Linked DNA regions of Macaca fascicularis. The protein of the gene in region 1 purifies or fractionates together with the protein of each later gene. This does not show direct contact. Links are inferred from orthologs where the notes say so. Each region holds a gene or a part of one and is shown on either strand. Other genes may lie near its edges.

What was found.
Region 2: the proteins of ISCA2 (region 1) and IBA57 purify together in Homo sapiens (co-immunoprecipitation; 4 studies listed by BioGRID and IntAct, with this or other methods). This does not show direct contact. The link is inferred for Macaca fascicularis from reciprocal best matches to the Homo sapiens genes ISCA2 and IBA57.

The regions. Positions count from the first base shown.
Region 1 is NC_088381.1:142,441,410-142,445,214, forward strand, and holds ISCA2 (iron-sulfur cluster assembly 2 homolog, mitochondrial), read left to right. Parts: upstream 1-1,354; 5' UTR 1,355-1,364; coding exon 1,365-1,435; intron 1,436-1,636; coding exon 1,637-1,739; intron 1,740-1,860; coding exon 1,861-1,976; intron 1,977-2,412; coding exon 2,413-2,587; 3' UTR 2,588-3,053; downstream 3,054-3,805. Other genes in the region: NPC2 (NPC intracellular cholesterol transporter 2), read right to left, coding at 766-847. UniProt on the Homo sapiens protein: Involved in the maturation of mitochondrial 4Fe-4S proteins functioning late in the iron-sulfur cluster assembly pathway. May be involved in the binding of an intermediate of Fe/S cluster assembly.
Region 2 is NC_088375.1:86,082,021-86,085,824, forward strand, and holds the end of IBA57 (putative transferase CAF17, mitochondrial), read left to right. Parts: intron 1-1,880; coding exon 1,881-2,221; intron 2,222-2,313; coding exon 2,314-2,705; 3' UTR 2,706-3,573; downstream 3,574-3,804. UniProt on the Homo sapiens protein: Mitochondrial protein involved in the maturation of mitochondrial [4Fe-4S]-proteins in the late stage of the iron-sulfur cluster assembly pathway. Operates in cooperation with ISCA2 in the maturation of [4Fe-4S] proteins.

The DNA.
Region 1 (3,805 bases):
TCTCCGTGCTTCCTTTCCACTCACAGATCTTACAAAATCAGTTTCATGCCTCTTTCATTGACAGTTGTAGCCCTCTACCTCCACCTCTGAACAAATTTGCTCGAGTTCTGTTCCGACAATTCTATAGACTCGACTCAATGAAGGCACTCAGAATTTCCACCACCTGTTGTATTTTCCAACAAAGATTGCAACCACAGCGGCGAGAGGGAGTTATGTGTCACAAGCTGTGGTTAGAGACACAGTGAGATTTATACAAGAAAAAACTGATTAAGAATCACAAGATACCAAAGCCCAAAGGAAGTCCTATTTGTAACAATAAATGATGAAAAAGGGGAATTGACTTTTGACTTGTCAGCAAAAAGGAAATTAAAAGAAAAGCAAAGGGAGCTGGAAGGGGGAGGGCGGGATTCCAAGATACAAAGCATAAAAAAAAAAGAAGTTCTGTGCTCCACCCCTCCACCAGCGCTAGATACAGCCCTTCTATTGTCAGCCCTACAAACTTTAGGAAACTTCAGTAAAAGGCCCACCTCCTGGAGTTCCCAGGAACCCCAAAACATGCGTTCTAAGAAAAAGACAAAGTTGTGTGCGATCGGGTTTCCTGGAGGCCGGCGCCTTCTCCCCGACCCAGACCACTCCAGTTAGGGTCCAAGGCTCAGCCTGGCCGCCCGAGGGATCCGCCCAGCCCAGCCCCGGGGGTCTCAGCGCGGGGATCCGGCGGGGGCTTCCGCAGAGGGCGCGGGAACCTTGGGCGGGCCTGGGGCTCACCGCAGTCCTTGAACTGCACGGGTTCGGCCTGGGCGGCGGTGCTGAGCGCCAGGAGCAGGAATGTAGCGGCCAGGAAACGCATCGCGGATAACGAAGTTCCAATCTCTGGAAAGAAGCGGCGGCCGCCCGCGGTCACAAGACAAACCTGTGGGGGCGGGCCCGGGGAGGAGCCCAGTCAGGCGACCTGTCACCAGTAACCACGGCCGAGGCCCGCCCGCGCCCCGCCCCCGGCCCCGGGAGCCAACTCCAGCCCTCTCGGGCCCAGAAGCCTGCAGTCTCCGCCCATGCCGTCCCCTCAGAGGCCTGACCCGCCCAGACCCACCTCCGCCCCGCCCCACCTCACTCCTCCTCGCCCCACCTCACTCCTCCTCGCCCCGTTCCTTCCCTTTAGAGCACCTCCCCGGCTTCATGGGTGCGTCCCCGCGGCTGCCGTCGGGAGCATTTCTAGCCAATCAGGCACCTTCTCCTCCCTCACTACCCAATAGGTATGTTGGGGGCGGGGCCTCCGTGAGGGCCCGGCCTCCTGTTCGTTCTCCCCGCCTCCCGAGGCTCCGGGTGAGAAACGGGGGAGACGCGCGGGGCGGAGCTTGTGGAGGAAGATGGCTGCCGCCCGGGGGTTGTCCCTAACGGCCGCGACGCAGAGAGCGGTCACTCCCTGGCCGAGGGGCAGGTATCAAGACTAGAAAGGCACCTGGAAAGGGTGTTTGGTTCTGCGCCTCTAGGACAAATGGGAAACCAAGGCCTGTGGGGGAGGTGAGGGTTTGGTGGAAGGCCGTCCAGGTGGGGGTCACCAGGTTTAGCGTGAGGCGCTCCAGGTCAAGGGTTGTCAGGTGCCCCTTCTGCCCCCGGGCTTACCCTCCCTTGCGCGCAGGCTCCTCGCGGCCTCCCTGGGACTCCAGGCGCGTCGGGAAGCGTCGTCCTCCAGCCCCGAGGCCGGCGAAGGGCAGATCCGCCTCACGGACAGCTGCGTCCAGGTAGAAGGCCGGTCGCGGGGCGGCGGTACCCAGGCGATTGGCGGGAGCAGCGGGAACTGCTCTTCACTCAGCCCTTTAACTCCCGTTGCCCGCTATTCCTGATCCCCTTCCTGCATTTCAGAGGCTTCTGGAAATCACCGAGGGGTCAGAGTTCCTCAGGCTGCAGGTGGAAGGAGGTGGATGCTCCGGATTCCAATACAAATTTTCACTGGATACAGTTATCAACCCCGACGACAGGCAAGGAGGAAGGGATGGGTTCCCAAAGGAGGTACAGGAGGGATAAAAGTGTGTATAGTTTAAGGTGCACTTTTATTCCAAATTTAAAGGGTTTACTTGGGATGGTTAACACCGCCCGTCTCACAGTGAGGATGCGGTGAAGGTTTGTTGTCCTGAATCAAAATAACTAAGTTATAGGAGCAAAATTGGCCTGCCCAGGTCCATTGGGTAGTCGGTAGAAAGTCAGGCCGGATTAGATTCCAGGCTTAAGTCCCTACACTTTTCGCAGTATTTATTCCATTGAATCATTTTTGCCTAAAAGAAAATCAGCACGTGTTAAAGGTAATCGGGAAGCTCCCTCTGTACTTTAGAAAACAGACGGTGTGCACCTCTGGGCCCAGGGGGTGTCTTTTTTGTGTTTGTGATACTCGTTAATGCTTTCCTCCTGTCTTTTCAGGGTATTTGAACAGGGTGGGGCAAGAGTGGTGGTTGACTCTGATAGCTTGGCCTTCGTGAAAGGGGCCCAGGTGGACTTCAGCCAAGAACTGATCCGAAGCTCATTTCAAGTGTTGAACAATCCTCAAGCACAGCAAGGCTGCTCCTGTGGGTCTTCCTTCTCTATCAAACTTTGATGCGATGACTGGTGACTCTGAGATTGTCACCAGTTGTACCAATTTGAAGAACCTGGAATTAGTAGAATTCTAGAGGTTTCCTTCTAATCATGTCCCTCTCAATTTTATTTCCCACAGTCCAGGAGTGTTGTGTTTTGCCACTATTATTTTCAGAACGTGAAGATTTTGGCTTAATTTTTCCCTCCAACTCCCCTCAGTGCTAAGGCTGAGCCTCCAGATGCTGTTACCTCAGATTTAATCACTGGTTGAAACTCCGTATAATCTGTAGAGCTTCCATGGCTCTAAAATTTGGAATTAAATTATCTGGCCTTAAGAGCTGCTTGTATATATGTGGATAGCTATGTATAAAAGCTTCATTTTAAAGAAAGTTCTTATTGTGTTGTGGATCAGGATCACAGGTTGGGTAGCTTGGACACCGTTATTAGAGGATGAGAAAAGTAAATGAAATGTTCTCTTTTTCATTTTACCCTGCCAGTATGTGCTATTTTTCTTTATTGTCTATGCAGCCCATTCGCCACTTCCTATTTGATGGGACAGATACATTTTACTCTCATACTCGTGGATCTGCTAGGAGTCATAAAACCAAGAGCCCATTGCCCAGAAAACTTGGACCAAACCCTCACTGATACTGAATTGTTTCAAAAATAGCCTCCCTACTCATAGAGACATTTTAAGATTCTGTGACAATTTAATGACTGAATCTTTTTTAGGATATGTTGCTTCACCTGCCTTCTGTTGTAAAATGGCTCTGGTCTCATGCACAGCAGGAAGTGATCTCTTTATCGTTATAGGTAATAGATTCTTAGGAACCTTTTTTTAGATTGGATTGCCAGATGAAATGTAGGATGCCCAGTTAAATTTGGATTTCAGATAATTAATTTTTTAGAGTGCCTATGTCTCAAATATTGCATATACTAAAAATTACTATTTGAAATTCAAAATTAGGCATCCTATATTTTTATTTGCTGACCTTGGCAACTCTAGGGTCACCAAACAGCTTTTGAAATCACAAATTCTAGTGAATTAAAGTACTTGTGTAGGTGTCGCACTTAAATAGGCTTTGGAACTTAAAATAATCCTATTACAGTGCTGCGGAGCTATGTGGACAGACAGTGAAAGAAAAACCATCCATCACCATCACTGCACCGAATGATTTATTAATACTGATGTTGGAGAAACTACAAGTTGATTCTGGAAGAGTTACTGGTTAAATCCATC
Region 2 (3,804 bases), on another chromosome or scaffold:
TTCAGGAGTGTCATAGATGGATGCACCGGCCTGTTATTTTTTGGCCTTACCCTTTTCCCTCACCATAGTGCCCTCAGATCCACCCACTTCTGTCCATCTCCGGCTCCCTGTACTTGCTGAGAAGTCCCCTGTCGTGTGGTGGCACCTTGATTCTCCCCTTTTGGCCATTACTAGTAGAGCTGGCTGCTGTGAGCTTTCGCTTTAGCAGGTTTTGTGTGAACTGCAGTGTTCATTTCTCAGTGATCCATGCCCGGAAGTGAGAGAGCCAGGTCACGGGGTAGTTGCTTGTTTGATATTGTGAGGACTTGCACCCTGTCTTCCAGAGGGACGCCCGTTTTGCCTCCACACCAGCAGCATGCCAGTGACCTGGTTTCTCCTCGTGCTGGCCAGCGTTTGGGTTTGCCACTGCGTCTGTCTGGGACACATTGCCTGTGTTTCCCTGGTGGCGTGGTGACCTTTTTGCACTACACCTGCGGCTGCCCCTCTGTGCTGTCCTTGCTGTTCCTCCCATCATCTTAGCCCCACATGTGTAAATGACGTATGTTCCCCTCCCTTGCCAGTGTTGTTTTTGATGTCCTGTGACCACTGTCTTGGAGGGCGGGCCAGCTCCACTGGCTGTCACAGCTGGCTATGCCCACCCTCCCTGCATCAGGGTCCTCAGTGAGACCTGTGCCCACTGGTTCTGGGTGAACATTCTCTGTGGCTGCTGGCATGTGGGCATGATCACAGGGTAGAGTGAGACTGCAGAGATGAGGGCAGCAGGCCCCCACTTGGCACCTGAAGCTCTGGGTGGCTGGCAAGGACTGAGCCCTCTTCTGGCTGGAAGGGGCTGGGCCACCAGCTTGTGGGCTCCTCTCTGGCAGGCCCTCTGGGGGTCTTATTACCTCCCTGTCTCAGCTCTCACCGGTCTGTGAAGCCTTGTGCAGTCCACACCTGCAATCAACCCTAGCCATGGAGGTGGCTGCACCCGAGGTATCTCCACTTAGTGCCCCCCACCTGACATGCCCCACACTGCCCGGGCCTCCCCTCTCCCCACCATCCATCTGGTCAGGGGTCATTCGTGTGGTGCCTGCCCAAATCCTCTGAGGAGGGCTGCCTGGAGTGCAGGTCAGAATGGCTCTGGGGTTGGGTTCTGAGACTTGACTTGGGGAGGCAGGTGGTGGACATAGGTAGAGTGGTCCTCAGGCATATTGTACCTCCCTGACCTCCTCCTGGGCTCCTTGCTCCTCCCTCCTGCCCACCTTAGGACCCTCGGGCTCCTCGATGGCTTCCCTGGGCTGGAACAGGCAGGTCTGGTTCTCAGTGGCTGTGCATACCGTTCCTCTGTGGGGCCCTGCCCGTCCCTGCTCCCGCATCCAGTGGACTGTTGTCATTTCTTCCCTAGGCTTTGGGACTACTCCAGACGATGCCCTTGGGCAGGCTATTGTAGTTCTGCCAGTCCCTGGGCAAACAGGGTCTGTCTGCGCTAGCCCCTGTGAGCTTGTCTCTGCCTGCTTAGAGGAGAGCTCTGGAGGCGCAGCTCCGCGTGGCTGTGGGCAGGGCTCTCCATGTGCTGGTCCAGGTGTGCCCTGCCTGGCCTGATGTGCGTTGTCTGCACGTATCCTGGCATTGCTGTGGGCATGGCACTCTGCGCTGTTCTCCATGGTGCTCACATCTAGCTGTGGCTATGGCTATGGGCGTGGCTCGCTGTGGCGTGGCTCCCTGCTTGTGGTGACCCAGGCGCTTGCCTTGAAGGTGCAGTCCCTTGTGGCTGAGGGCAGGGCTCCTTACGTTGGTCCACGGTGTACTCCTCTGCCTGGGTAAGGCTAGCTCCGTCATGCAGCCCTTTCTGGCCCACGCACTTGGTGAGCTGGCATGCACCCCTGCCTCTCTCCCTGCAGGCTCCAGGAACACTCGGAGGAGGTGTCTGGCTTTCTCCTGGAGTGTGACAGCTCCGTGCAGGGCGCACTGCAGAAGCACCTCGCGCTATACAGGATCCGGCGGAAGGTCACGGTGGAGCCGCACCCGGAGCTGCGAGTGTGGGCAGTGTTGCCCAGTTCCCCTGAGGCCTACGGGAATGCACCGTTGCAGGAGAGTGCAGGGGCTGCTGCCATCCTCATCCGCGACCCGCGAACAGCACGCATGGGGTGGCGGCTCCTCACCCAGGACGAAGGCCCAGCCCTGGTGTCGGGGGGCCGGCTCGGGGACCTGTGGGATTATCACCAGCACCGATACCTGCAAGGTATGGGCAGGGTGGGCGCGCAGGACTGGATTGCATGGGTAGGGCTAGACGATGTTCAGTTCTTGCTGGTTTCCCTCCTCCGATCCCTGCAGGCGTTCCTGAGGGGGTCAGAGACTTGCCTCCTGGGGTGGCCTTGCCGCTGGAGTCCAACCTGGCCTTCATGAACGGCGTGAGCTTCACCAAAGGCTGCTACATCGGCCAGGAGCTGACAGCCCGCACCCACCACATGGGCGTCATCCGCAAGCGCCTCTTCCCTGTCAGGTTCTTGGACCCCCTTCCTGCCAGTGGCATCACCCCCGGTGCCACGGTGCTGACTGCGTCAGGACAGACTGTGGGCAAGTTCAGGGCCGGCCAGGGCAACGTGGGGCTGGCCCTGCTGTGGTCAGAGAAGATCAAGGGTCCTCTGCACATCAGAGCCTCTGAGGGTGCTCAGGTGGCCTTAGCCGCATCTGTGCCAGACTGGTGGCCTACAGTTTCCAAGTAGCCCGAAGCCTTGGCTGGTGCAGGCTGATGGGGAGGCTGGGGCCTGGGGCCTCTGTCCTCTGTCGGGGGTCTTCCCATTCCATCTGTCTGCTGTGCCTACTGGGTGGGAGCCCTGGTTCCCATCTGGGAAAGTCCTCCTTGTAGGTGCCCTGCCTGGCCCCGCCCATGCTCAAGGGCCCCAGGCACGTGGGTTGTTTTCTCACTGGGCTTCCTGTGACCCCAGAGGAGCCCACTGTGTGAGTGCTGAGCTCCAGGTGGCGCCGGGCCCCAATTGTGGCTCCACACAGGGTTGTCTGGGAGGATGGGACAGTGTCTCTGGCCAGCACTGGCAGCTTCTGTGCCTTGCACCCCACTCTGCCCAGCATGAGCCTCATGGGGGGTTGGTCCCTGTGCCTGGAAGCTGGGCGGTGTCCAGGGTCTGCAGGCTGGGGCTCCGGCTTTGGGAGTTGTTTCACTGTGCTTGTTTCCAGCATGTCTCAGGGTGGGGTTGTGCGTGGTTTAGAGGGGTCTGGGGCATTGGATCAGGTGGCATGTGGGTTTCTGTGCATGGAGGAGCACACAGGGCTGAGCCACCAGGTATCCCATGCTGGAGGCTTGTGGAAGGCTGTGCCCATTGTCCATGTTTCCCCACCTCTGTTCCTCCTCAGAGCCCTCCAGGAGCATGGGGTAGGGCCAGCTCAGGGCTCAAGAGCCAGCAGGGCAGAGTTCTGCATGTGTGTGCTGGGTTTCGGCACTGCCTGTGTTTGCAGTGAGAGTGACTTGCTGTCAGTCGTGGGGTGCAGCCTCCTGTTCACCCACTGGCTTCCCCCTTCCCACTGAAGTGTGAGCTCCATGTTTCAGGGCATTTATTAAAGAGTGAGCCACAAGCAGCCCCTTGGGAGCTCTGGTTTCATTTGGGGGAGAGGGAGGCGGGGGCTTAGTTTCTGGGATCTGGCTGACGACCCTGGCAACAGCTGTCCCTTGAGAATGCCTAGACCTACCAGATGAAGCACTTGGCATGGCTGCAGGCCAGCAGGGGAGGCCTCAGAGGCCCAGGCTGGGCATGTGGGTGCCGAGTCTGCAAAGGACAGCCCCATGGCTGTGAGCTGTTGGCTGCAGGG